Drosophila melanogaster: one gene and its partners. The protein of the gene in region 1 interacts with the protein of each later gene in a pairwise test. Each region holds a gene or a part of one and is shown in the gene's direction. Other genes may lie near its edges.

The links.
Region 2: the proteins of CG14100 (region 1) and CG17574 interact in a two-hybrid assay, tested with the Drosophila melanogaster proteins (one large-scale study listed by BioGRID).
Region 3: the proteins of CG14100 (region 1) and CG42494 interact in a two-hybrid assay, tested with the Drosophila melanogaster proteins (one large-scale study listed by BioGRID).
Region 4: the proteins of CG14100 (region 1) and Tsp42El interact in a two-hybrid assay, tested with the Drosophila melanogaster proteins (one large-scale study listed by BioGRID).

What each region holds. Positions count from the first base shown.
Region 1 is NT_037436.4:19,587,642-19,593,979, reverse strand, and holds CG14100 (uncharacterized protein), read left to right. Parts: upstream 1-3,455; 5' UTR 3,456-3,501; coding exon 3,502-4,577; intron 4,578-4,637; coding exon 4,638-4,785; 3' UTR 4,786-4,908; downstream 4,909-6,338. Other genes in the region: ash1 (absent, small, or homeotic discs 1), read left to right, coding at 1-629, 693-2,162, 2,222-2,428, 2,499-2,678; CG9330 (uncharacterized protein), read right to left, coding at 4,997-5,149, 5,209-5,300, 5,367-5,857, 5,926-6,099, 6,159-6,338.
Region 2 is NT_033778.4:12,847,894-12,857,000, reverse strand, and holds CG17574 (uncharacterized protein), read left to right. Parts: upstream 1-3,460; 5' UTR 3,461-3,518; coding exon 3,519-3,678; intron 3,679-5,418; exon of another isoform or gene 5,419-5,432; coding exon of another isoform or gene 5,433-5,553; intron 5,554-5,657; exon of another isoform or gene 5,658-5,730; coding exon of another isoform or gene 5,731-5,836; intron 5,837-6,052; exon of another isoform or gene 6,053-6,099; coding exon of another isoform or gene 6,100-6,226; intron 6,227-6,772; coding exon 6,773-6,902; intron 6,903-6,959; coding exon of another isoform or gene 6,960-6,962; coding exon 6,963-7,040; intron 7,041-7,104; coding exon 7,105-7,264; 3' UTR 7,265-7,643; downstream 7,644-9,107. Other genes in the region: CG30486 (uncharacterized protein), read left to right, coding at 8,036-8,158, 8,209-8,603, 8,655-8,928; antr (antares), read left to right, coding at 9,004-9,107.
Region 3 is NT_037436.4:3,181,900-3,188,554, forward strand, and holds CG42494 (uncharacterized protein), read left to right. Parts: upstream 1-3,461; 5' UTR 3,462-3,496; coding exon 3,497-3,523; intron 3,524-3,581; coding exon 3,582-3,678; intron 3,679-3,734; coding exon 3,735-4,053; intron 4,054-4,112; coding exon 4,113-4,397; intron 4,398-4,449; coding exon 4,450-4,573; 3' UTR 4,574-4,650; downstream 4,651-6,655. Other genes in the region: girdin, read left to right, coding at 1-1,245, 1,301-1,539, 1,600-1,675, 1,737-1,900, 2,034-2,138, 2,350-2,767; CG32284 (uncharacterized protein), read left to right, coding at 4,772-4,798, 4,861-5,000, 5,064-5,205; CG14957 (uncharacterized protein), read left to right, coding at 5,680-5,706, 5,770-5,909, 5,968-6,091; CG42525 (uncharacterized protein), read right to left, coding at 6,312-6,432, 6,490-6,655.
Region 4 is NT_033778.4:7,041,326-7,049,038, forward strand, and holds Tsp42El (tetraspanin 42El), read left to right. Parts: upstream 1-4,443; 5' UTR 4,444-4,628; coding exon 4,629-4,688; intron 4,689-5,951; coding exon 5,952-6,110; intron 6,111-6,175; coding exon 6,176-6,331; intron 6,332-6,647; coding exon 6,648-6,854; intron 6,855-6,918; coding exon 6,919-6,990; 3' UTR 6,991-7,213; downstream 7,214-7,713. Other genes in the region: Tsp42Ej (tetraspanin 42Ej), read left to right, coding at 244-405, 460-822, 1,255-1,347; Tsp42Ek (tetraspanin 42Ek), read left to right, coding at 1,707-1,766, 2,393-2,551, 2,621-2,782, 2,884-3,078, 3,135-3,206.

The sequences.
Region 1 (6,338 bases):
ATAAAGGATGGGGAGTGCGAACTAAGCTACCCATTGCGAAGGGAACCTACATTCTGGAGTACGTGGGCGAGGTAGTCACGGAAAAGGAATTCAAGCAGAGGATGGCCAGCATCTACCTAAATGACACCCACCACTATTGCTTACATTTGGATGGAGGACTGGTTATCGACGGTCAGCGGATGGGCAGCGATTGTAGGTTTGTCAACCATTCTTGCGAACCCAATTGCGAGATGCAAAAATGGAGTGTTAACGGCCTATCTAGAATGGTTTTATTCGCCAAAAGAGCCATAGAGGAGGGGGAGGAGCTGACATACGATTACAACTTTTCGCTGTTCAATCCCTCAGAGGGTCAGCCCTGCAGGTGCAACACGCCCCAGTGTCGTGGTGTCATTGGTGGCAAGTCGCAGAGAGTTAAACCCCTTCCTGCTGTGGAGGCCAAGCCATCTGGAGAGGGACTTTCTGGCCGAAACGGGCGCCAACGGAAGCAGAAGGCCAAAAAGCATGCTCAACGGCAGGCGGGAAAAGATATTTCATCAGCAGTGGCGGTGGCAAAGCTTCAACCATTGTCCGAAAAAGAAAAGAAACTGGTCAGACAATTCAACACATTTCTAGTCAGGAACTTCGAAAAGGTTGGTTTACTTATTTTAATATACGAAATATATATTAAAAAATATTTATTTATCTTTCATTAGATACGCAGATGCAAGGCCAAGCGGGCGTCAGATGCAGCGGCGACTGCATCCTCGCCAGCACTTGGCACCACTAATGGGGACATTCCTGGTAGACGTCCCTCCACACCATCTTCTCCTTCCTTGGCAGCGCAGATTTCCGCGCTCTGCTCGCCTCGCAACATAAAAACCCGTGGACTCACACAGGCAGTGCATGATCCCGAACTAGAGAAAATGGCCAAAATGGCTGTAGTTCTAAGGGATATTTGCAGTGCCATGGAGACCCTCAAAATGTCCGATTTGTTGACGACAGTGTCCAGCAAGAAAAAGAAGCCTATAAAGACCACTTTGAGTGGAAAATTGGGTTCTACAGCTGCAACTTCAAAAGTGGAATTCAGATCGATACAAGCCCAGGTGGAGCAGGGACATTACAAAACGCCGCAGGAATTCGATGACCACATGCAGCAGCTCTTTGTGGAGGCCAAGCAGCAACACGGCGATGATGAGGGCAAGGAAAAAGCGCTGCAGTCCCTGAAGGATAGCTATGAGCAACAGAAGATCGCCAGCTATGTTCAGCTGGTGGAGATTCTTGGTGATTCGGAATCGTTGCAGAGCTTTAAACCAAAGGAAGTGCTTTCGTCAGAGGAGGAACCTGGAAAGATAGCAGTGAAGAAATCACCAGGAGCAAAGGAAAGAGATTCCCCAATTGTGCCATTGAAAGTGACTCCGCCACCCCTGCTTCCTATTGAGGCCTCTCCTGATGAGGATGTAATCCGATGTATTTGTGGATTGTACAAAGATGAAGGCTTGATGATTCAGTGCTCCAAATGCATGGTGTGGCAGCATACTGAATGTACCAAAGCTGACATCGATGCGGATAATTATCAGTGCGAGCGTTGCGAGCCAAGGGAAGTGGATCGAGAAATTCCCCTGGAGGAATTTACCGAAGAGGGACACCGTTACTATCTCTCCCTAATGCGTGGTGATCTGCAGGTACGACAGGGCGATGCCGTCTATGTCCTACGAGACATCCCCATCAAGGATGAGTCCGGCAAGGTGTTACCGACGAAGAAGCACACCTATGAAACGATCGGAGCCATTGATTACCAAGAGTGCGATATCTTTCGGGTGGAGCACTTGTGGAAAAACGAACTGGGAAAGCGTTTTATATTCGGACACCATTTCCTGCGTCCTCATGAAACTTTCCACGAACCATCGCGTCGTTTCTACCCCAATGAGGTGGTACGAGTTTCACTTTATGAGGTGGTACCCATTGAGTTGGTCATTGGACGCTGCTGGGTGTTGGATCGAACAACTTTCTGTAAAGGACGCCCCATGGAATGCAACGATGAGGATCATTGCTACATCTGCGAGCTGCGTGTGGACAAGACGGCAAGGTTCTTCTCAAAGGCCAAGGCCAACCATCCAGCCTGCACCAAGAGCTATGCCTTCAGAAAATTTCCCGAGAAGATTAAGATCTCCAAGAGCTATGCGGTAAGTTTAATATTTTAAATAATAATAACGCCAGTTAACTAATGAGCATTAATGTGTAGCCCCATGATGTGGATCCGTCGTTGCTGAAGACAAGGAAGCAAAAGACTGAATTAGACGTAGGAGCCGGGCCAACAACGATGCACAAGGTGTCTGGCAGGCAGGAACAGCATCAGGCCAAGATGGTTGGGCGAAAGCCTCGTGGGATCAGTGCCCCAGCGGATGCAACTGCTGTCCATGTCGTAACACCCGTGGCGCCCAATAAACAGGTGTGCAGAGTTTTGAACAAGTTTTGAAATCAATCTATTACAATTAACTTTGTTTTCAATCTCCCTAAAGATGCTTAAGAAGAGGAAATCGCGTTTAGAGAACGTTTTGATAACTATGAAGCTTAAGTGTCTGGATGCACAAACGGCACAGGAGCAACCCATTGACTTGTCATACCTGCTGTCCGGACGCGGCGCCCGGCAGCGGAAGACCCAGCAGTCCAGTAGCAGTTCTACGGCCAACTCAACATAACCGATGTAACGCGAGTAGATTAAGCCGTGTATATACGCCTAAAGTTAGAGGCATTGATTAATATTTATGGAACTTCAATTAACAATTAGCATTTAGCCATGTAAGATGTAACGGTGATAGTAGTAATCCTAAAGTGTACATTGTTATGAACAAACTTCGTGAAAGGACTCCGGTCCCGGCTAGGATGGAACAGATTATGAATTATGGTTAATATAAGGATTTATTTAAATACTAGTGCTTACGCCACCGCACCAAGCCCCCAATTTAGATGAATTTCTTTTGTTTTTAATTGTTTATATTGGCTCTCCATATTAATTTTGTTTTACAAAACTATCCCCCTCTCGTCTTTGCAATTGAAGGCGTTTGACTTTTGCATTGTTATTTTAAATTATTGTATTATGTTATGGCTGCTTAATTATGTAACACCCGAGTAGGACAACTTATTGCGCTATTAGTTTTTAGTTATTTTCCAATTGTTATTAACTGCTAACAAAAATTTTAAAAGTGAAATAAAAAATATATTTTTATTAATCAAAGCCGAATTTTAAATGAACCGCCTGTTTAACACAAGTGTTGGATTGCCTAACTGTCGCGTTATTCAACACTGCTTGCATGGGCGTAGTGAAGTTTCTGATTCGGGGGACTTCGAATTTAAGATTATGAATCACTTTGTTCTTGTATCGCAAAAATTCATTTGCTTAGAGTTTTTCTGCATTTTTTTTTGGGATTAAAATAATAATCCCCCCTTAAATGTGTTTGCTTACGCCCATGACTATGCAAACAGATGTTCAGTGAAGTTGAATTGGATTGAATTGAATCGGCCATGCTGTGTAATATATTTAAACGCTCGCTTCAAGCGAATATAAGGAATGTGAATAACTTAAATGTGCTGCGGTTGAGCAGTTCCAGTGGTCCCCGAGGAGAGATCCAGGACGCACTGGACATAGAGGCCAATCTATTCGGGAATTCAGATTTAAGGCATGAGCCGATGAACACGAGGGAAGCTTTACGCAAGAATCGATTTGCCGGTAGAAAACCAAAGGTGCCATTTGCCTCAGTTGCATCTCGCAACCTCTCAGCTCCATCTAATCCTGCACCACGAGTGGCTCCAACTCCCGCTCCAGTAATTAAGGACAATGAGCTGAATCTGGAGTTTGTGCGTCTCACTCTGCAGGATCCACTTACCAGCACCCTACTAACCACAGTGCGCTCCCGCAAGCGCCGTGATAAGAACCGGCAGATCATCGTCGAAGGCCGTCGTCTCATCCAGGAAGCCCTGCAATGTGGTCTCAAAATGGAAGTACTCCTCTTCTCCCAGAAAGATCAGTTGGCTCTGGTCAAGGAGGAAGTAGGCGTGGCACAGGTGGAGACGGGTACCAAGATTTACAAAGTGCCGCAGCACGACCTAAAGACGTGGTCATCGCTGGTAACTCCTCCCGGTCTGATGGCTATCTTCGACAGGCCGTCGGACAAAGGCTTGGAGAAAAACCTGGCGGAGCAACAGCGTCTGGGCTCTCAGCCCTTTCCCATTACAGTTGTGTGCGACAACATCAGGGAGCCCAACAATCTGGGCAGCATTATAAGGACCTGCGCCGCGCTGCCCTGCAGTCAGGTGGTGGTCACCCACGGCTGCTGTGATCCCTGGGAATCGAAGGCCCTGAGAGGAGGCTGTGGCGGTCAGTTTAGAGTTCCAATTCGGGATGATGTAACTTGGGATGAGCTCGCGCTAACCATTCCGCCAGAGGCGGCCGACGACTGTCATGTTTTCATTGCCGAGACCAACCAAAGGAAGCGGGAGAACAACCAGACCATTGACTATGCAGATATCAAGGGTCTTGGAGCCCATAACTTGCTCATTATTGGCGGAGAGAGTCACGGAGTCAGTGAGGAAGCTTACCGGTAAGGGGGGAAACGAATAAGTTATAAAATGGAATGCTAATTATGTTTTTATATTGTCAGTTTCTTAAACTTGGTTGGAGGTAAGGGAAAGTGCATCTACATCCCGCTGGCAGCTGGCATCGATAGCTTGAATGTGGCATCTGCTCTGACGCTGTTGCTTTTTGAACTGCGCCGAAAACTCATTCATCAGGCATCAGAAAAAGAATAAGTTTGGAATAGCAACCGATATAATTAAATGTATTTTCTTTAATTGTTAATTTCTATGACAAAGTGTATAAATCGCAGTTAAATCCCATCAATAAACTTGAGTATATTTGTTATGATCCTTTCGAAAATACAATTTTCATCTTGTGTCAGGCATAATATAAATTTATTGCTAGGCTGTTTCACAAATATAGTAATTAATAATTACATTTAATTCAACTATTAGCTTCGATTTCCTTGTAAACCTCGCGCTTATACTCGTCCAGACCACCTTCGATCGCTCTGACTGTGCGATTGCCACACACCCAGAGTTCCTTGCAGACGACCTTAATGAGGCGTTCGTCGTGGGAAACCAGGATTACGCCGCCCTAAGAAAGACAGTACACATGTATTTCATGGTGTAAATTTCCACTAAAGTCCACTTTACCTTAAAGGCATTTATGGCTCGGCCCAAAGCATCAATGGTTTCAATGTCCAAGTGATTAGTCGGCTCATCGAGCACCAGGAAATTTGGCTCCGCTATAAAATAAATATATTATGTTGATGTTAATGTTATTGAAAGAAGATGGATAGTCACTATCTTACCCATGCACATCTTTGCTAAGGCCACTCGTGATTTTTGTCCTCCAGATAAACTGGCAATGCTCTGCAGTGCCAGTGGTCCGGATATGCCGAAGCTGCCCAACTGCCGGCGATACTCTTCGTCCGGGCGACCAGGAAACAGTTCTGCCAAAACTCCCACACACGTTACATTCATATTCAGATGGTCCACATGGTGCTGCGCAAAATATCCAATTCGAAGACCGCGATGCAGGACAATGTTTCCGTGAATAGTGCTCAGTTGACCGACAATAATCTTCAGCAGCGTCGACTTTCCCGCTCCGTTTTCTCCGACAATGCAAATTCGAGAGTCCGATGTGGCTGAGAGATTGACGCCCTTGAAGATGGGCAGTGGATCTTCTGGATTGTAACGGAAAGTAACCTCCGAAATGGCCAGCACGGGAGGATTAAGGGGTTCCACTTCGGGGAATTTGAGCGTGACCACAGTCTCCTTTTCCACTGGCTTTAGTTCCGGCCTGCAAAGCGAACGTAGATGTTTTAAATTTCTTCCAGTCATTATTTTAATTTATATTTTTGTACTTACAGCTTTTCGAGCATTTTAATTTTGGATTGCACAGACGAGGCACGGTTTGCGTTGTATCGGAAGCGATCGATGAAGTCCTGGACATGAGCTCTGTGAGCCATTTGGGCCTCGTATTCACGTCTTTGGGACTTCAGCTTCTCCGTCTTGGTCTTCTCGAACTGTTCATAGTTTCCCCTGGGGAAAAAACAATTTATATTTAAATTAGGCTACATTTTGTAATTTGTAATAGTTACTTGTATGCCTCCAGTTCCTGGGAATGTAGGTGAATAATGTCTGTCGGCACCGTGTCCAGGAAGTTGCGATCGTGAGAAACTACCAGAATGGTGGTGGCCCATGTCTGCAGATAGTTTTCCAGCCAAATAATGGCTTTGATGTCTAACATGTTCGTCGGCTCATCGAGCAGTAACAGATCG
Region 2 (9,107 bases), on another chromosome or scaffold:
TTTTCCATCATTGGCTAGCTATAATGTTAGCAATTTTAGTATAACAACAATATAATTTAAATTGTTTAAAATGACTCATCCTCAGTAGCGCTTCGATAAGGAATTGATTCATTTTTATAGATAAGAACGACTGACAATTGTATCCACATCCCACAGCTAAATACATGCATGCAGTATACCTCGAACTTTTAGACCAAACGGCTCGTTGGAAAAAAGTATCTTTTAACCATGGTTAAATGGTTTCCCATTATAATGGTGTTTTTTATAGTGGTTTTGATACTGGTACTATTGCGAGTTCGTCGCGCCCGTCGACTTCGCGTGGGAAACGCAACTGTGGTTACCGCCGGTGAGGTCAGGACTTTAAATAGTAATTCTGGGATGATCGATGGTCGTATCGTCGATTCTGGGAATCGCTCCAGACAGCCGAGCTATCAAAATCTAATCATATGAACCTATAAGTGCTTCAAGTCCAAGACGCCATTTGCATCAAACGTTTTGATTATCGCCCTAATTTACAAATCATCAATGCTGTTCATCAAATCGAATCGGGCTCGTGTAGCCTTTTTAACATTTTCGACAATCTTATTATCTTATATTCGCAAACGTTTGAGGTCAAGTCTTGTTTTTTCTTCTTACCCTTGCCCGAATGATATTAAATTATATTTAGTGTTGTTTGAATTAGGCGATAGGGTGTTGATTAGACGGTCGTTAATAGTTGGTACCATGCTCCCAGAAAAACAACTTTTCAGCACACCAAAAAATTTTTTATGGAAAAATTTTCTCACTTAAATTTCTATTATGTTCGATAACACATTTGCACAACAGTACAAAAACCAAAAAAAAAATATATATATTTTTATTATTTAAACCTTTCAAATCTCTATAGAGTTATGGATTAACTAGGTCAAAATTTCAATATTTAGCACGCAATTAAAATATACATATATAATATGTGTATAATATAATAACTTGAATTACATGTACATAGGAGTACTTGATTGAAAATAATTTACCCCTACTTATGACCAGCTTTAGATAATTAAATAATAAAATAAGTTAAATATGATTATTGACATTCTGTCAACAGAATAATTGTTGTCGTTGCACTTGAGTCGTACTTCGTTTCTGCAGAAAAATCTTGGGTCCAACTGTTGACCGGTGAATTTCCCCAACGGCTGTATTGTTTCCCATCTCAGATAATAAGCGTTCGATAAGGCTAATTCAATTATTTGATTAGCACTGACGTCAGAAACGATCAAAGATTTGTGGAAATTGTTTAGAGTAATCGCATCGTTCTGAGGATCCCCCAGAAGTAATAAATTTCGAAAACCAAACCTAATTTTATTTTTGATTGATGTAGACTATTGACGCAGGTTTCAAGCTGTAAATACAATGTCCACTTGAACTTTTATGGTTCCCCTCTATTCTATGCTACCTTCTGGCACCGATATCAGGACTATATGGCGTTATTAAGCCGATTAAACGCCCAGAGCGTCAATACCAACCCAGCGATGGTTGCTAATCTTATCTTGCCATCCAAACCACCATTTTAAACTGACTTCGGGTCTGTGGGGATATGCAAACAGTCTGGACTCTTACAAAAGTCGGCGAGGAATCGAATCCGATTCGCAATAATCGTCGAACCTCTGCGTAATGAACACCGTGGCGTAGTTTCAAGACCCATCGAACTATCCTCAAGACTGCCTGCCGATAGAATCTATTAGTTAGTAAATACCTATTGTTGTGAGTAATTCGATTAGGATGCCGCACGTTCCGAACGACAGGGATCTGGAGATCTCCACCATCATCCTTTGCACCATTTTCGCTGTGGTCCTCTGCGGAGTCGTGGCAATGATCATAGGATACGTGATCCGCAAAAGGAAACAGCGCCTGGCGGGCAAGGATGTGATTGAAGCAAGTTAGTATAGTTCGATGCAGAAATCCTTTGTTGCTGTCCTGTGTTCTTCCCAATTGTCAGATGACGAAGCTCCGTGTGTGAAGTTCCTGTGTCTTGTTTTGTTCAACAAAATGGAGAACGGAGAACAATCTATTTAATTTTTTATGTTTAACTACTTAGTTTCGTTATTTATTACATGGTTGTAACACTACAAGATTGCCGAATCAACTGCTTAATAAATAAGAAAGTTTACAAAAACGACGACATTCAAAGTTTAAGAAAATTACTTTATATATAGTAGCTTTCTTTTCGTAAACAAAAAAAAAGTGGATACACTATTTGCCTTTGCTAAGAACTTAAAATATATGTTTTATTTAATTCTGATGTGAACAGAACATTAAGAACAAGATTTAAAAAAAAAGCGGATGCAGCCACTATAAGTCGTTTACAACATTTAAGCGTACTCAAAAAAATAATGGTACTTTTTAAGAATGTGGTACTGAAAAAATAATTTTATTTTTTTATTGCTTCCATGATTTTAATTTTCTACAAATTTTGGTTAAATATTTTGATTCATTCGGTGCATTAACGCTATGTTGCTGTTTTACTACGTTCTTAGTAATTTAGAAAAGTTTAAAAAACTTCTATTCAAAGGTCATAATTTTTGATATACACATAGAAAAGTAATGAAATCTTTTAAACTTTTTTGAGTGCGGCTTAGTGAGTAATGATTATTCTAATCAAATTTTTAAGCGAATGGTGGTATTTACCTTTTGTATATTATGCGTATGAGTAATTATTTAAAGTGATTTAAGATTTTAGTTTCTTTGCTCCTTTCGTTCGGATCGGTAGGGATTTGGAATTTAGCAAAATTTGACCAATAATGGCAAAATATACTTCAATCGCAGTTTTCTTCAATGTATTGTTTTTGTACTGCATTTACCTCTGCTCGATCGTAAAGTTTCCTTTTTTGTCAGCCTATTATAATTTCAAATAATTCAATCATCTTCGGTGTAATATTGTAGTTCATAGTAGTTGTCACTGCTTTCATTGGGAAATGGAGTGTAATTCTGACTCATAGTGACTAAATCATAAATTTCAAATCGATCGCAAATTTGTTTTTTTTATTGAACTACGTACTTGTTGTGCGTTGTAAATCTTAATAAATGTATTATACATTTGAGACCATTTATGATGTCACATATCAAAGACTCTATAAGCAGATGGAAAGACAAAGAAGACAAGAATTTATATTTATTGGGTATTTTAGCGGCTTCTGGTTGGTTATGCCTAAAAGTACGCTGCAAAAATGTGCGAATGGTTCACTAAATTACTAAAATTAAACAAAGAGCTAAGTAGTACTTGTTTCATCCATACTTGTTAAATACTGAAAATCCAGCTGGTTATATAAGTTTTCTGTATTCTGGATAAATATTTTACACACAGTCTAAACGATAACATGCATATTTTTTTTCGTCCGCTTTTTCTTATCGTAATAAAAAGGGCTTAGTGAATTGAATTTTTTCCCAGATTCAGTCCAAAAAGATCTGAGCTTAGACACACAGTTCGACCAGTTCATTTACTCAGTTCGTTGCAGTCAAACGTGTTTACTAGAAAAAAGATGCCTCCTTTAGAATTCCCACCGCCACCTAAATACGATGCTCCAAGTGTCGATAAACTTCCTGAAGCGGGTGCCAGATTAATAGCAATCATTTTTATGCTTTTTATCTGGGGCTATTGCAAGTGTTGTTGTTCTTGTTGTAAACGCAATAAGACGGAAGGTAAGAGCAATTCTTAACGTATCTGTACGATAAGCCAACTCTCTTATTTCAGCATCTATTAACACTCACAGATAATTGCAGTTTCAGATAGTTATCTTAGTCTATAGGTCGCGTTTGCAGTGCAATCATGAATTTTCTTTTTGTGAATGTTTTCAATTCGAATTCAAATGAAGACGACTTTAGTTTGATTATAGTGTTTGCGATTTTTGTATTGACCATTTGTATTGGGGCCATTTGTATATGCCTACGATTAAAAATTGGAAAGGAGATTAAAAACTGTAAAGGTTGGTAACCCATTATTAAGATACCGTACTTATTATTTTTATGCTGCTGTCTGCTTTAAAAAGAGACACATCTTAATGAATCAAAAATTTCCGCTTTATGTAGTTAGATCAAGTGGCATGTAGTTATTTTATAATTATAATTTTTAATGATAAAATTAACAACATTTTGAAACTATTCTGCGTATTGTCCACTTTGAGTCACTTTGTTCATTATTGCCACATGTAAATAGAGGTAAAAACTCACATGATAGCGGTATCTGCATCTAATACACTGAAAAACTTGTTTTTCTAATTAAATCCATTACTCGAAGACGTCATTCAAAGCGTCTGCATTAGATTTCCTAACTTGATCTTGTAAATTGATAAATATATGATAATAATGGGTATTGCCCAAGGTTTAGTGCTTTTGCTTCCTATCTGCACTGTCAATTTTATTTATGGTTCAAATATTCAAGTCATTGTCTAGAAGAAATTTTGGATTGTGTGCGAATTTAGTTCTTTAGCTAGAAGTAAAGTCTTTTGCATGAGAAATCCGAGTTAATATTAAAAGATGTAAGACATATTTAAGGCTTTTAATTTCCCCTCCAAATACAATTAAAAATAATTTCTTATCCAGTATCCTAAACTTTAAAAGCCTCTGTTGTGAAATAGTCCGGCTATCTTGGTATACTGAGATTTAGGACTTGGTTTGGAGTGGGTAATGACTGGGTGTTATTGTTATATTTGTGCAATATATGCTGATAACAACGACTGTGATTCCCTACTATTTCGGATTCCATTTCCAAATGTGCCACTAAATGCTTCGTTTACGCCTAAACGCAAATCAATAATTAGGTATTAATGGCTAATGGTCATAAAGGATTGAGTGTTGACGTACGTTGATCCCGAAATGCAGGGTAATTCAGAAAATGATTATGAAACCCATTTAGTTAGGTCGCAGGTCCTCACGATGAATGCCACCATATTGGATGTGTTTGAGGACATTTCCCAGCGACTGCACATAAACTGGACATTTCTGGCATACGAAGCTTGTATCCTCACGGTTTTGGTTGCCCTTGTTGTGATATATGCCTTAAATCTTGCTCGAAATCCGGAAGACTTTCGATATTGGAACAATTTGTAAACGTATTCCCGAAATGAATAACGAAACGGAGGTCAGCTCCTTGCTGGAGTCCCAGGAACGCTCTGTGGTTTTCATATCCGTTTTTCGCATAACCTTCAAAATATTCATTTTGGCATTGATCGGCCTGGTTGCACTACATTGGAAGCGTCGTCAGGCTCTCGGTGATTTAAGTAAGTTATGATAATGGTTGAAAGTGTACTGTTATCACTGATAAGTGCTATCTTTATGAGTGTGATTGCCCTTTTCTTTGGCCATTACTGGCACTTTTTCGATTGCCAATCCGGCGGCTTTAGTTTCTCGCTTTTGTTTAGTCTTTGTGCACCGCTTATTCAGTCAGTATCATAATCATGGATGATTCGGGCATCTACTGGATACTTTTCTTCACCTTCTCCGTATTTTTCATGACATCCGCGGCTGTATTTCTGACCCGTGGTCGAACCCGGAGAGCGGCGCTCACCAAGGGTGCAGGTGTGTTTTCGGGGATCACCCGTTTGTGGCGATAACGCGGCCGTCCAATGGGTTTCCAATATCTCCCATTTACACAAAAAAAAAAAAAAAACACAAAAACCCCAATGTCATGAAACAGTTGAAATCGTGAACTCCACGCTGTAGCACCAGTTCAGCGTGTATAGAATAATATTCGCGATGGAGCCGTTTGTTATTCCCATCATAGCAGTCTCAGTCTTCATAGTGATTGCCTCGTTGATGTGCCTCTGCTTCTTTTGCATAGCCAAGAAGTTCAGATCCATGGGTAAATAGCTGCAGCTACGGGAAGAGTTATTTATGTTTTATGATTTATGTAATTTTGAAGCTGTTTCGTACTGCCAATATCAGAGATAAACAAAACCATAATGCAAGTACACCACCCGCTTATCGTATTGGCCATAAAATCGAACATTGATTAGACGCGGTCCGAGTGAGTGGGTTTTGTCAGACATAGGACTTGCAGTCTGTTCTGTGTTCGCCTGGAAAGCGATTGTGTTTTTTCGAGCTAAATTCCCTGACTTATCGAGAATGTGGGCATTCTGGGTTGGATTATCTATAGCCTTTGCCATATTTTTCATTACTTCCTTCGTTGTTTGCATTAGACGCAGGCAGAAAGCAGCGCGAAATGTTGGCTACACAATCAGCGAAGGCGTTGGTAATTACATTGACTGAGCAATGAATGGATTGCCAATTACACTTAAAGAAATAGTGGTGCAGCAAATTTTGTTGAGCCTTATCTTATTTGTCTAAGTGTGAAGTATTTTCTTATTCTTGGTTTTCGATACAGGCAGTATATGTTTTAAAAATATTTTTTATATTAATTATAACACAAAATGTATTTATAGTGCATATAAACGTGACACGGGCTTGTTATTACCCTTTTCTATAAATAAATTGAGTGGATAAGATTAAAAGCTCAAAAAAAAAAAAAAGCACAGAAATTACACCAAAAAAACCCCAAATGAAATTAAAAAAGCAAAATATAATATACATCAAGTTTTTATGACTTACATTAATTTAGATTAATATAATATTGAAAATTTTTTATAGTGCTGAAAGGGGAATTTTTGTTCACACTGATGAGTCTAATCAAAAGTGGGAGCTTATCGAGTCTGCGATTCGCGGTTGGCGATGATTCAGAATCATTGGCGCAGCTATTTTCTGTTTCTAATTTCTTTTTTTCCGTTCTTTCTACTTTCAGCGCCTGTGGTGGTGACCTCCGCCACCCACACGGCTCCCGGCGGATATCCGGTCACACAGCTGCCTCCGCCGGGCTATCCATCGAGCAATGCCTACGTAACTGCGACCTCGTACCCCGTACAGACCACCGGGTAAGTACGGAGCCTAAAGTGCTGCCGCAAACTATTCTAATGTCCCCATTTTCCCAGCAGCAACGTGACTGTGCAGATGCCCATGCCGATGAGCCACCAGAACCAGCAGCAAATGCCAATGCCTATGCCGATGCCGGGGTAAGTGGAAGCTAGTGCTCCAGCGAAACGCAAATATTAATTGATATGCTTTTATCCATTGCAGTCAGCAAACGCATGGCGTGGCGTATCCGACGTATCCTGGCGCCGGGGCTGCCAACATGAATCCGCCGCCGTATGACATGTCCATGGCTAATCCAGGACCTAGTGTTATGCCCGCTGGATATGAGAAGCAAGCTCCCTACAATCCCCACTTTGGCCAGTGAAATCGCACTGTGAACTGAGGATCCCCTTTCCGTCTCGTTATAGCTTTTTTACTCAGCTGAACACTTTACTTTCCATGTTTTCTTGCATAAAAAACTCCAAACTCCTGGTAAAAAACCAAGTGAAAGCGATCGCACAACGAGCCATTTTTATATTCCATGTGATGTATGTAAAGTGTACATATAACTTAAGCGCAACCTTCTATTTATACATCTATATTAAGCAAATCCAAAACGAAAACCAAACTGAACTACATGAAGTGTTAATTGTAATAAACCAGTGAAGTGCACATCAAATGCAACTGAAGCACATTTGTTTCGATGTGCACTTTCACAAAATCACAAAAACAAGAAATGCAAACATGTTTTCAATTACTTCTGCACTCGGATGTTTTTGCCAATGAAAAAGCAGTGGGTAAATGGGTTTCTAAAGATTACTAGTGGATTTACATTCCAATCGAAAGTTTTTATTTATTATTTTCTTAGTTGAGATGCGCAATTATGTTTTATGTTTTTATTACCTTGATTTAATTGAGTCATGCGAAATTCCAATGTTTTACACATATTGTAAATTTTATATCTTAATAATAACCTTCTAGCTTTTTGGATTCCTTGTTGAATATGGCTGTCTGTTGGAAATAAAACTAGTAATAGCTCTATATATTATAGAATTGTCACGCTGCATTTAGGCAGTTACAATGGATTTTACGCTGTATAGATAGATCAGTTTTCTTCAAAATAGTTTTGTATTTTGACTCCAGCAATCGGCACCAGATGTTGTACCTTCTTTCAGTCCTTATAATAGTCCTTATCAGCCAGGAGGCGTTATCTACGGATTACTGCAACAAGGATCTGTGTCTGCCGGAAATAACGCATATCGCTTGCCGCAATTATGGCGTAAGTTTGGCTTCCCATCAAGTTGCTCAGTAACTGTCTGAGTTTCGCAGGACTTTGACGAGAGTTGTGGCAGTGAAGCGATCATCATGAAGTTTCCCATGCACATGCGTGCCCATCTCCTGGCCGTCCTAAACGATTTTCGGAATACCGTGGCTAAGGGTCAGTATCCGCACTTGCGTCCAGCTTCCCGGATGGCAACACTCCGGTGGCACGAGGAACTGGCCGGGTTGGCCAAGTTTGCCTTGAGGCGTTGTGACTATATAGACGATTACTGCAGCAATACGGATGAGTTCAGCTATGTGTCGTATATATATGGCAGTACCAAGTGGTTGCAACTGGAGAAGGATCCCATATCCGTTTTGGACTTTGTCTTGCAGTTTTGGATGGATGATGTTAAGGGCTGCACGATGGCCCACATCAATGCCGAGAAACCGGCCAAGGATGGGTGAGAGTGAGAGATTCAAGAGGTTGATGTATATCTAATCCACGATTGCAGACAGTGTCGCGGCTACTTCACCCAGCTGGTCCAAGATTTGGCTGCCCATGTCGGCTGTGCCATGATGCTGCGAAAAGGCCAAACGAGCGGACTCTATCAGTACGGTGTCCTATGTCACTTTTCGCGCGGAAAGATCGCCAATGAGCTGGTCTACCGGGCAAGTGCTCATCCGGGAAGTCGCTGCTATGCGGGAACCCACTCCATATATGAGGGGCTCTGCTCACCCGAGGAGCATGTTAATCCCAATGCCCTGCAATTGGGCGAGCTTAATTGATTCGTTCATGCTGCATTTAATAAATCTAGGTCATAAGATAGCTCTACACGTTAGTTAAATTACTTTTGCCACGAGATGAAGATGTGGTATCTGTACCTCTTTTTGTTACCGCTAACTGCGAGCTTGATACCAGAAGATGATCCCCATTGTAAGCCCAATCTCTGCATGAACTCGGAAAT
Region 3 (6,655 bases), about 16 Mb from region 1:
AGCCTGCTCAAGGAAGTGTCCAAACTCAAGGAGGGCAGCGAGCAAAAGTCTGTGCAGCTGGATGACAGTATTAATCGGCTCGATGTCCAGAGCAAAGAACTACAAAAGCTGGGCAAAGCACTTGAGGATTCGGAGCAAGTGCATCAAAAGCTTGTGGAACTGGAGAAGCAAAACCAAGAGCTAGCTTCACAGCGCATCATTGATCAAGAGATGATAAGTACTCTTCGAAACGACTTGGTGACTGGTACTCTCGTAACGAAGAAAGTGCGAAACAACTTGGAGAAACTAGGATTGGCGGACGAAGAGCCCGGTGAGCTCAATGTGGAGCATGTGGTGGAGAAGTTGGTGCGCAACCCGGAGACTTTTAAAACGGTTCGCGAGATAATGCTAAACGTGACCCGAGAGCAGCTGGAGGAGGAGGAACGAGAAGGTGGCGTCAAGTCCGACATGTGTGTGCTATGCCACCGTCAGGAGATCTTTACGGTGGAAAAGAACATTGAACTCGCGGCTACTCCAGCTCCTGCACCAGCGCAACCATCTTCGCAGGAACTTCGCTTCGAACACAAGGTACGTCTAAGTCCAGCACGAGAATCAGCAGAGCTGACCCGTATTAAGGATTCCAACACTCAGCTTCAGACTGAGAATGCTCGGCTCAGCGTGGACGTGGCTGCGCTGGGCTCGCAAATAACTTCGCTGAACACCCAGCATGTAGCCCTACAGCTGGCAAACTCCCAGTTGGCTGCCGAAAAAGATTCGCTGCTCAAAGAGATCGATTCACTGCAGCAGGAGCACAAGCATGCTTTGCAGGATCAGGTTACGTTGCAATGCCTGCATGATCAACTCTCCGCGGAGTACGAGTCTCTGAACAAGGACAAGGAGCAGCTAAAGGCTGCAGTGCGGGACTTGCGTCAGGAGCTGCGAGATACCCGTGAACAGCAGTCGGCATTGGAGCAACGCATTGAGGAGTTGACTATTCAGAACAGCAACATGAAAACATGCAGCGAGGATCTGTCAATCCTGCGTACGGAGCACTCCAAACTGACAGACGACTTCCGCAATCTGTTCGCCACCAGCGATCGCTTCAAGAACGAATACAAAAACATCCAGGAGCAGTACAAGATGGTACGCATGGAGCACTCCAGCCTTAAGCTACAAAACACAGAACTCTCCGGCGAGCTAAATGCTAAGAGCGATCAGGTCCGTTGCCTACAGATGGAGTATAGCAAGGTTCAGCAGCGTTGTGAGGTGAGTTAAAAAGTGTCAAGATATAATATTCTATTAATATTCTTTTTGCATACAGATGTTGATACAAAACAATGCTGAACTGGACTCGGAGCGCAAGGCTCTGATGGACAACGTGTCCCAATTGCTCTCTCAATATCAGGAACTATTGGCCATATCCCTGGAGGACAAAAAGCACTTCCATGAGGAGGAGAAGAACTACACCGAACGGGTGCACAGCCTCAAGCGGCAGAAGGAAAAACTGGAGGAGAAAATTATGGAGCATTACAAGAAGTCAGAAACCACAGTGCACAAGAAGTAAATAATATAACCATACAAAAATATATTTGTTATTAAGCCAATCACTGTAAATTTCAGAAAACCATTTGCCAGCATGCTGGTTAGAAGAGTGAAGAAGGCTAGCTCGGATCTAATGAACAAGGTGCCCAGTCGAGTAAGTTTACTCACAACTAGATGTAAAGAAACTTAACATAAAAATATTTTTTTTTTTTCAGAACCGTCGATCTTGGGTAGATGACGCCCGTACCAATTCCCAGTTCGTGATCGGTTCCGAGTCAGGCGGCAATGAGTCGGATAATAGCAATGAGGAGCCACTGTCCATTGCCTCCGACACGCACCTGCTCCAGAGGAATGTCCCGCTCCGCCAGAGTCTGCAGCGGTAAGCCATTCAGTTGGGTTGGAAATTGATGTTTTTTTTAGATTTTTGGGTTCACGGTATTTGTTCTTTTTACATGTATTATACACAACTCGACATTCGCACCAAACAAACACTGTACATTATGTCGGAGTAGGGATTTGCTGGATAACTCGATCCAACGCGGCGGTGCCGTGCGCAGTAGCCTGCAGGCTCAGAAACGTACGGATTTGAATAACTCACGTAGAAATAGCGTGCACGGGTATGCGCTTTTGATGTTTAACATTCATTCTACCCCATTAAAACTTGCCAATTGAAACAGATCGAAGTCTGTTTCGAGGCTTCAATTGACCACTATTAATCCTTATTCCATCTTTCCCCTTGCACAATGCGTATTTCCCTTCGTTGTCGCTCCCCACCTGTGTTTAAAAAAGTGCATTCATCTAGTTACTGATAAATCATTTGCTTCGCAGCAGTCTTGAAGCGCCAGACGTGACGGGCAGCAGTCTGACTCTCGGAACGGCCGGTTCCAGACGCACCGTTTATCTTATCGATGAGCACCAAAAGCTTCCCGATGGCTCTACTCCCGGCGCCACACAGTCACAGTCTGTTGGCGGCAGTGGCTCCGTCAACGCCGCACCTCCTACACCCGCAGAACCTCAGACGCCTCAGAAGAGTACCGAAAACAATGCCCCGGTGGGCCCAGCTACGTTTCTCATGTACAACCGAATAAACACCACGATCGGAGGAGCCTCGAACAGCGGGGACCAGAGCCCTCTGCTGCAGGCCAGCGGCAGCGTCTCGGGAACGACCATGCAGGATGACAAGTCGGCAAGGAAGCGGACCGAAGACAAGAGCAATAGCATCTGGTATGAGTACGGCTGCGTCTAGATCATTCGAACAGTATACGTCCACAACGTGAACTCGAACATAATGCATTTGCTGACGAAGTATTATTTCGTTTTAGAAATTAACGAATTTATTTTTAAACGCATTAGAACATCGATGTTGCCTTAAGCAAGTTACATATGTAAGTGTGAAGTGCTGCTTAAACCGCTATGATTTGCCTTAAGAAATATTTTACAATTAGACTAGTACATAGTACATACTATAGTTTGTACCTATTTATGCAATCTAAAAACTCCACAAGACTACGCGACAACTATGCGAACATATAACTATCCAGTATACACCCCTATATACACAAAACTATAAAAAAATATGTTAAATATTAGCTGTACCGGCCTCAATGTACGTCCTAAGCGAAAGGCTTTCTTTTTCGCAGATAAGACAAGATATTTAAAAATAGTATTTATATCCGTTCATTTGGTGTTTTGTTAACTCGACTCGACTCTATGTATTCCTAGATATGTTGTAAACCACACTCGTACTCTGCTATCAGCTAACGAACGCGCCTTCAATTTGTGAATATATTTTTATAAATTACTTGTAGCCTTGTACTATTTATTGACGCAAAGCCTAACACCGCAATAAAACTAAGCAAACATACAGAAAATATCTCACTTTTTCGGCAAGTCTCTAAAGATAACCAAAGATACATATAAGGTGATCCGTTTGTCCCCAGTATTTTAGATTGAAAGGCGACTGGAGACAAAAAAGATGTGGCTAAAGGCGCTTGTTCTACTGGTAACTACTACAAACTGTGCGCACTTCGGGCTAATAATCACTTTTTAATAAACTTAAGCTTTCGATTCGATATTTGGCGGCCACGTGCAATGTGTGTCAAAGTGATAGCAATGTCGCTTGTCACAGTGAAACCACTTTTTCCATCTGCTATGACGGTCTGTAAATTTTCTTTAAAAACAAGGGGATTGTGTGACAACGTTTTAATTTCCAGGAGTTCCATCGTATGATCTCTTGCCATGTCCAAAGGACTTTTATTGCACGGATGGCTTTTACACTTGCTATCAAAATGCTAATCCGGTTTGCAAAACAGAGGAGGACACTTCCACCACCGAGATCCAGACAACCAGTACAACCACTCCTAGCCCCATTACCACGACAACCACTAAGAACCCAACTACCACTGCTACCCCAATTACCACAACAACCACTGAGATCACGACTACAGAAGCTCCGTGGAATGCCGACGATATCTGTCAGCAATACACTAAAAACACCTTTTTCGAAAACGAAGATGATCCCACCTGCACCACGTGAATACCCTACTGCTGAAAATTGTTTTCGATGCTAGACTAAAGAGTTCATTTTTCAGTTTTATAACCTGTACAGTTGATAGCGACGGAACGCATTCGACAAAAGTCACTTCATGCAAGGCTAATCAGTATTTCAGTACCAGCTTAAAGGTTTGTACCGCCACAAAGCCGGATGGATGCGTGGAGACGACAACCACTATAGCCACCACTACCCCAACCACCACCACCGTGACCACAACAGCGGCGAGTACCACCACAGCGGAACCCTGGAGTGCGGAGAAAACCTGCCTGACTGTCTCTAAGACCACTTTGTTTCAAAACCAAGACGACCCCACCTGCACCACGTAAGTAGACCACGAATTTCCAGGGAACAACTCACATAAACCATTCTTCTAGGTACCTATATTGTTATTTTATCAATGGATCGGCAACAGCTTTGATAAAGAACTGTAAGACCAACCAATATTTTGATGCTTCCTTGAAATCGTGCAGCGAAAACAAACCGGATTATTGCACCTAAGTCAGACCGTTTAACAGCAGTAATCGATCATTATCAGATTTATTGAAACCAATAAAATATTAGTATAAAACAATCATATGATACCATTTTCTAAAATTGGCAAGATAGGATGGGGAACAGGCCACTACAGTAACTATTTAAGAGCCACGCGGAGCTCTTATGCTTCAGAAAGCAAAAGGCAGTGCGGTTAAGCTAATCATGTGGCTGCGTATAATGTTTTTACTGGTGAGGTCTTTAAAAATATCTTTTACCTGTGCTAATGAAATATATGTACATATATATTTTAGTTGCTGGCTCATTGCCTCACGGCTTTGCCAGCTCCAGAGTTTGACGACCACAACTCGAAGACTTGGAGTGCGGAAGAAGCCTGCAGCGAAGTTACAACCACCACCATAATGGAAAACCAGGCTGATCCAACTTGTAGAACGTAGGTCACGTCTATGGCGTACAATAACCAAAATTATATTATATTTAAATTATACATTATCAGCTACGTTTATTGTTACGTGGTCAATGGATCAGTTTTGTCGTTGATTAAGAGCTGCAAAGTGAACCAGTACTTTGATCCCAATTTGAAAATGTGCCGGTCTGAAGTTCCAGATGAATGTTCTGCAATGGCACCAACCAACTAAATCCCACGGCATCTTTCATGCCACTTTGAACTTCTGCAGCGCCAATAAGCTAGAGCTATATCTGAATTTCTTGGAACCCAAAGCTTATAAATGTTTCAAATCTTGATGCCAATAAAAAGTAATAATAAATTATAGCATTGCAATGCTTTTGTAGGAAGTTTTATGGTTTATACGTTATATGGTTTTCAGCGAATAGATTCATTTCTACATATTCAAAACATCCGGATTATTGTTCTTGACAACACCCAGAGTTTACCCAGAAATTTGCACATATCTGAGAAGTCCATAAACAAAGTACATACGAGTACGAGAACGGGTGACAAAACAAATTAATAAACCTACGCAATAAACATTAATTACATTGCCAAAGCGTACCGAGATAAACGATGCTACAGATTAAATCCTGTGGTATTTAAAGGCCGCTTTGGCGCTCCAAGGTTTCAGTGTGCGAAGTGTAGCAAGGTTAAATTGACAATGTGGACGAGTCTAATTGTATCACTGGTAACTATGCAAGGACTGCACTTGGATCTATATCCCAAATCAAAAGAATCCACCCCATAATAGCTCCTGGTCCACTGCCTGCTTGCCGGGGCCGCGCCTGCGCTAAAGGATCTGGACGCGGGCACCTGGAGTGCGGATGAGGCGTGTCAGAATGTGGATAAATCGGTCATAATAGCGAACCAGAATGACTCCACATGCGTCAGGTAAGCAACTCGGCGGATTATACGGATTATCACCTACTAAATGGAAATTCACTTTCAGCTACGTCTATTGTTATAAAGTCAATGACTCAACGAGGGCTCTAATCAAAAGCTGCAAGACCGGGCAATTCTTTGATGCCGATCTCAAATTCTGCACTATCAGCAAACCAGCGGGATGTGTCTAATATGAGAAAGTCTTAGTTAGAAATACGTTTGAATAGTAATTCACTAGATTTTACATATGTATTATTAATTTATTACATTAAAACCCAAAAATTAAATATTTTTCGATTACCTAAGCAACCAGTGGCAAATTCCCAATCAAAATCCTAGACAGAATCGTTTGGATCATTCTTTATGGTTAACTGGATATAAAATGCATGAACTTTCTTTAATCGTTGAGGCTCAGCAGTTGCTCGGTCGTGTGGATTGACAGGACTCTGTATCCGAATTGTAGTATTCATTGGTGTTGCAATAGTATAGCCAGCCCAGGTAATCCTGACTCAATTTATAGCAGTAGACATACCTAGAAAGTCTAAAACTTAAGGCCAACGCATCTTGAAGTTGATAATAATATACTTGCATTTGACACGTTGTATCAGTCTCAACTCGGAAATATCCTTTGCTCTTCAACTTTGCACAATAGGCATTGGGATCTATTTCCGAAGGTACTGTAGTTTGAACGCTGGTAGATGGTTCAGTTGTTGTGGGCGAAGTACTCGAATCAGTGGTAGTGGCAGATGTGGTGG
Region 4 (7,713 bases), on another chromosome or scaffold:
AACTATTACGCCTTATCGGTAGGTGTTAAATAATAATGCATTCCATATAGCTAGTTCCTGAAGTTCATACGCACAACCTTGGCAAGTAATTTATTAAGTTATTGGGGCCACACTTTTAGTTTTAGTTTCTAACTCTGCGAGAAAGATGTTCGTTCAAGAAGAAATAGATTAGGAAGTAATTTAGTCCATAATTTTCCTTAGTACTAAGGACTTAACTAACTATTTTGTTTCCCTTTCGTTCAGACGTGCAACGTGTTCTTCTTCTCCTGTGGCGTGACCACCTGGGGTTCGGCCGTCTCCGTCTACGGCAGCTATGGGTCGGCACTTTGCGGAGGAGCAGTTTTCGGAGTCGCCTTCCTGGGCATGTACGTGGCCTTGAAGGTGTCGTACAAGTATTCCATATACGTGAGTAAACTGCGTTCACAACTGCAAGTCACAGACTAACCTCTTTGCATTCAGTACCTAATTTGCAGTGGCCTGGTTATAGCCGCCCTGGGCTCCTACCTCTTCACCTTCACGGCGATGCGGGAGCAGCTGATGGGCAGGTTCGAGGAGCGCATGCGCGACCTCTTCGAGCGAAAGACCCACAGCGACGACAAGATGCAGCCAGTGCACAGCCTCTTCGGCTGCTGCGGCATTGAGGGACCGCAGGACTACCTTCAGGAGGAGCACGGCGCCCTGCCCAGCAGCTGCTGCTACGCCTTCGACTGCTCCAAGCCGGCGCACGTCTACGAGGAGGGATGCTCCACCAAGGCGGTAGCTACTCTGAGAATGCAGGCGGAGCTCAACTACTACAGCTGCATGGCGATCATTGCCCTCGAGGTGAGACATTAAACCATACGCAGGGTAAAATTCACTTGCCACAAGGGTACTTGAGCACAAGGGTATGTTTCGGCACGTCGCTTATGGAAGAGTTATCCAATAACTTTTGAATTAACGCACACAACTGACTCAGTGAACACATTTTAACTACTTTTTTATTCGTCACGCTTAAATAGAAATCCCTGCCAAGATAAGATGTGTGTTTTTTCATTCAAACCATTTTTGTTACTAAAGTTTTCTTTAAACTAAATATGTCAAAGGTGCGATCGTTACTATTTATGTACACAGTTGTTGAGCTTTTGCTTGATGTTATAAAGTTATAAAGTAGTAAGGACGTTAAGACAGTAAAATATTTTTTTAACAAAGTTCGCTTGTCTATTCGATTTCGATTCCATATCAATATTATATTATTACAATTTATGTATTTTTCAGTTTTTGGGCTTGTTCACCGCTTACCATTTGGGCAAGGCTCGCAAGTATGCCAAAACCAAGATAAAGGACGAGGAGACCCCCATCAACGACTGATGGCCGAGGATACCCCTGCATGATTATTGATAATAAAAATTAACCAAATTAGCTAAAATGCCATTAGAAAATAAATACTTTCCATAGCCTAAACGAGTTCCCCGCAGTTATATCTCTCTCTCATTGAATTCGGCATCATTCGGCTGCGAAGATCTGAAAAACAAAAGAACATTGAAGAGCGCAGATCGTGATTTTGGGATTTTACGTGCTGCCGGCAAATATTTGCATCTGAAATTCATTGTCTATCGGAACTCCGATCTGGCAGGTTCGATCATACAACAAAGATTACTCTCTATTACTAATTATTCAAGAGGAATTAGTTTGGAATTTTACAAAAACAGCTTAATCGTAGCACTAGGATGGGCTGCACTTCCGGTTGCGTTAAGTGTTTCCTTAACACTCTTAATACTCTGAACGCGGTGAGTTCTTAACATATGCATATATTCACATGCATATGAATAAAAATTGGTAATTCTGTGCTATAAGAATGTATTACAAATGTAAATTAGCCATCTGTGTTCCCACAGGAATTTAAATGAATACATTTTTCTGCAAATCGACAAGCAAGTACGCATTCCGTTTTCATGGAATCGAAAATTTGTTTGGCCAGTAAACGTAATTTGCTTGTCAGATATGTATGAGAAACATTTGCCGCACTTTAATGATTAGCCCCAACACATTCCAAATTCAATTTGTTTGATCTAGAAATGCTTTACGACTTTACCATATGCTGCGATTTGTACCATATTTACAATTTATGGAAGATTATGGAAGAAAACAAGATTTTTAACTGCCAAAAACTTGTTTTATCCATATCCTTTTAAAAATAACTCATTATTTAGCACTAAGAGAGCGAACGTTATTGTGAAACACCAAATCAAATAACAGAGATTCCAGTGCCCAGATAAACGGGAAAATCTAGTTTCTTCACCGCGGCATTTGATAATATTTTGAAAATACCTCAAGCTCCATTGGAGTCATTGACATTACCACCCGATATCATTGCCAAATGCTAATCTGAATTGACCCTATGCTCCCTCTGTAGCTTTCGGGTCTATCCCTGATAGCCATTGCAACGTTGGCCCTCTCGAAAGCCCCTATCGCCTACATTCTGTTTCTATATGGACTCGGTGGCATTATCTTCGTTTCGGCTGTACTGGGATGCTGTGGAATCTGCATGGAGAACGTGTGCATGACCGCAACGGTGAGTGGAAACGCTATGTCATCCGTTTGGTAATTCACTCACTCTATGTTGTGTGTTGTATGTCAACAGTACGGCTTCTTGCTGTTGGCTCAGCTAATAATCAGCTTGCTAGGCATCTTCCGCTTCAAGTTCACTGAGGAATACATAGAGAAGTTCGCCGCCGAGGAGGTTCAGATGAAATGGGACGAGGAGCTGGTGGAACCCGGCGCCATGGACATTTACCAGACAGTGGTTCGTATTCTGGCGAAGATCATTCGCATCATGCACTTTTAATCGAATATATTTAATATGCTGGCATTATCGTTTATCATTTTTATGAATTATCTTAACAGTACGAGTGTTGTGGGCGTGATAGCCCCGACGACTACGTGGCCATCGGTCGTCAAACCTTGCCGCCCAGCTGCTATCCCCAGGAGGACCCCCAGATGCCCCACTATCTAGCTGGTTGCGTCCAAAAGTCCAGTGAGAACTTTGTGGTGCTCTTCAGCTACGCCCACGATACCAACTGGATAGCACTGGGAATAACCGTGAGTGAAATGTGTGAACTACACATGGAGGGACTAATCTTACAGAGTTTTTACAGATTCTAATGATGATTGCCGCCTTTTACTTGGTCGGAAGATTCAGGAAGCAGCGCGTTCGCTACACCTACTAAGGAATACTTTCGTAGAATTCTGAATATATTATTAGGGCGCCAATATTCCTTTACAGTAATCTTGTATAAAGTTTTTGATGCTCCCAGGAGAAATAAAAGCGTATCCCGATGAAACGAATACTTCCGATTATACAAAGGGTTCAATCCGAACTGATTAAAATTGTGATTTTTAAACTAGTAACTTTGTATTTGTAACTATGTATTTGCCTAACAGGGTCAGTTCAGCTGTCTTTCGGTATATAGCTCCTATACTTTTAAGATTCACACAAAGTGAGCAATGCATTTAGGGTTTCTATTTTGATAGTGGAAGTCAGGATCCTGCACTCCGCATCGGAAACTGAGCTCATCCGGTGATGTTGATGGCGTCATTCAGTGCCGAGTGTCTGACGCAATCGAGCTGAATCAATCTTACCGGCATTAATTCGATCGTTGGTAAATTGCTTTGAGAGGCGGTGGTCGATTAGACCCAACTCCGCTCTCGATAAGACACACACCGCGGCTAAACATCTGGCAAACGGAGACATATAGATTTCGCTTCAGTTCTGTCAAGCATAACCAGCTCCACGCTTCGAACTTTCCCGCCTCAGTTTCTGTTTGGCTTCCGAATGGCGGGAGCCGCACTAGAGTGCCACCGCCACCTTTAACTTTCTTGATTTGCCTACTGCGAGTGCAGGCGAATTCGGCTAAATGGATTTTAGTCACTCGAAGTATATTAATTGACAAATCAATATAACAAGATAGTGATATATTTTGTAACCTCTCATTTTAATAACATCTATGGTATCAACGAAAATCAATACAATAAGCAATGAACTTTTGCTATCGTCTGGGAGCGGGTTATTGAGGTTCTACTGTATAGTAATGTGTGTGCCCGGCTGCTTTTGTTTGCTTTAACAAACACTGCTAGCTGGCACTGTGGGGCACATCATTTTAACTCAATCACTGTTCAATTGTGAAAATGAATTTAAAAGAATCAATTTCGTAGAGCTTGCTTAGAGAAGATATTTGATTAAAAATTGATTACGTATTTCATATTCGTACAGGAAGTCCATATCATTTGATTCGTGCCGAAACACTCTGCATTGCCTTAAGTATTAGGAGCAGTGTTCGTCACTATAATTTTGGTGCTCCATGAACAGCTGCTATTCTATTCATTGAACCCACGGTGCAGAAGCGGCAGCTTTGGAGCTTCGGACCGCTCGACTCGGATCGGATTCCGAGCGAGAGAGTTTTCGGGGAGCTCAGTTTGCTCGTGACCGTGGCCGCACCAGTGCGCACTCCTAACCGATTCAGTCAGGTTCCGCCGATACGGACTCAAAAACTGAAAATAATCGGCGGCACAGCAAACTGCCGCACTTGTGGCACTGCGATTCGGTTGCATTCTAGCCAAAGGCAAAAGTTTGAAGTGGAAAAACATTCGAAATGGGTTGCGCAACGGGCACCATAAAGTACTCGCTGTTCCTGTTCAATGCCTTATGGGCGGTAAGTAGAGCACCGAATTGGAATTGGCATATGGTGCCTTGGGAGTCTAAGCGATATATCTGCGTATCTGCCGGTTCTTTTCTACAAATAGCCAGCTAATTGCGATGGTTTGAAATTTGTGTGAGGGGAGCCTCGGTGTTTGGGGTCTATGCTGTCCGTTCCACGTCCACCTGGTCGGTGGATGATATCATCTCGGGTGCGTGTTTGGTTTATGACAACGCTTCGCGGCTGGCTGTGTGTGTTAGCCAGTGTCTATTGTTAATGGCTTCTGCTCGGCCTTTTAGTTCCTTAAGCCAAGAGGAGGGCTTGCTAGCCAAGCGGCGAAACGAGGTTGCTGAAGTGCGTCATGCATTCGGATTTCGTTTGAAAGGCTAATTCGAGCGGAATATGGAAACCGGATTATTCACCAGATAATGATGAAAATAGCGATGAGGCCGAGCTCGACGCATTAGTCGGTGCCCATATGCATCAAAACTTTCTGTGGCCTTCTCAAGGCCGCGATGGTCTGATGTAAGCCCAATCCTAATAGATTGTTGACTGATCCTTTTGGAATTCTTCTTCGACCCTAGAGAGTATACAAATTCTTAATCACACTCTCTAGCCAACTCGGTCTGGTCATGTCCGTTTGTCCGTCTGTCTTTCTGTCCGTATGAACTTCCCACTTCAGCGCTTTTAAAAAAATGTTGTCATGATTCCAAAACGCAGTCGCTCAAACAATTTAAGAGACATTTTTTGTTTTCTTAATTACGTCTATTACTCGTAAAAGCGTATACTATATTTGCTTGAACAGGTCGATCTATAGCCATTTCCGTCTGTCCGTATGAACATGGAGATCTCAGGAACAATAAAAACTAGAAGGTTGTGATTCAGCATGCAGCTTCTAGCGACAAAGACGCAGCGTAAGTTTGCTGACCCATGCTGCCACGCCCACTCTAACGCCCACAAAATCGAGCTTGTCCAAGCTTTTGAACAATTTTTAAATTTTCTCATTTTATTCCCCAATATCTATCGATATTCCAGAAAAAATATAAAAATTAGCGTTCGCATTCACACTAGCTGAGTAACGGGTATCTGATAGTCGGGGAACTCGACTTGTTTTAATCTTTGCTTTTATGCATGTGTGTTTTATAAAAACTTTTAGGGCTAGGCGGTCTGAGATTATAAACCCAATTTTGTTTGGCAATTTTTTACATAGATAGATAATATTCATAATTTAGAGGATGCTGGACATATTTATTGACTATTTAATTTTCTGACTTTTAGATACTCGGTATCCTGGTGCTCATCTTTGGCGGCCTTGGCTGGGGAGCAATGCCAGATGCATATGCCATCGGCATCTTAATTCTGGGCGGTACTATCCTGGTAATATCCCTGTTTGGATGCTGTGGAGCCGTTCGCGAATCGCCGCGCATGCTCTGGACGGTACGTAACTGAATATTGCAATTAGGTGAATCATACATGAGCTAATAATTCTAATTGCCTTGCAGTATGCGTCACTGCTGCTGATTTTGCTGCTACTTATAGTGGCGTTTATCATCCTGAATCCCAAAGATGTATTTAAAAAGTACGCGCTTCAAACGGTGGAGAATCAGTGGGAGCTGGAGCAGACGAAGCCTGGCAGTATGGATATTATTCAGAAAACGGTGAGTGCCAATGTAACAAAGCAAAGGCTAGTTTGTTTGTTCAAATGCTTCCAAAATAAAGATTAAAAGAGTGCTTTAATTTGGAATTTTTTTTGTTATATACATAAGTACATAAGCAAAAGGTAGATAGGCGTTAGGGCCGTGCTCTTTTTTAGCTAGTGTTATCTTACATGGTTTGAATTGAATATAACGCTTTAGCTTATGTTTATTTCTAATAATGTAGTATTAGAAATTGCGCAAAGCTGCTGAAGTACATATTTATGTATGCTTAGCCTTCTCCTTTAATTTTGGTGTTTATATATTTCTATCACTTTAGTACTATTGCTGTGGCCGCGACAGTGCCCAAGACTACTTGGATATCAAATTCTGGAACAATACCGTTCCAAGTAGCTGTTGCAAGGACGACAGCTGTGTGAATCCACTGAATCTATATGTGCGCGGCTGCCTCATCAAAGTGGAGGAGGCTTTTGCAGATGAGGCAACCACTCTGGGCTATTTGGAGTGGGGTCTGCTCGGATTCAACGTAAGAGCTCTTTATTTCTATTACGGTGGAGCAAATTTCTAACTCATTTCTTTATTTCTTATAGGCTGTCATTCTATTGCTGGCCATCATCTTGGCCATTCACTACACCAACCGGCGGAGACGATATAACTATTAGTGAATATTTACTGAATAAGAAACCAAACTCCTCAAATCTAAGTGTCATCAGTGTATGGTTTGTTTTTGATACGAAAACCCAGCGTTACTTGCCAAGCAACTGAGTTAATCTTTTTATTAAAGCAATGTTTAACACATTCGAATATTAAAATAATATGTACATAACTACAAGTACCAAACACATGTCGTTTAAAATACCAAATATATTTAGAAAAATTACTTTCAACAATATTTTCGACAATAATTAAGATTTCAAAATAGGTTCGCGATACCGGTGATACAAAATATTTTGAGTTTTTCACCTTGACCGTCCGTTTGTCCGTCCGTATGAACGTTCTCGATAACTATATAAAATGTTTTAAGTTAGTCCACGCAAAAACAAATTATGAGCACATGTGGAACAAAAAGTTGGAAGCAAAAGCGTTAAGGCTTACATATATATGTTTATGTTTCTCTCCAATGATTCGTGTAAAGGGTATATAATAGTCGAAAGCGGTTTCTTTTTTTCCTATCCATGCACTTTCCTTACAGCGGGCACATCCATCGGAATATGAAAATATTCTTTCTTTTAGCAACATAAACTTCGTGTTTAGAGCCACCTCTCTAAACATTTTACTGAAGTTGAGCGATAGTTTTTTTCAGTGATGTTGTGCGTTGGAGAAAACTGACCACTAGAGGGCTCTTCAAACGAATTGCGCAAACAAAAGTCAAGCGAACTGTTATG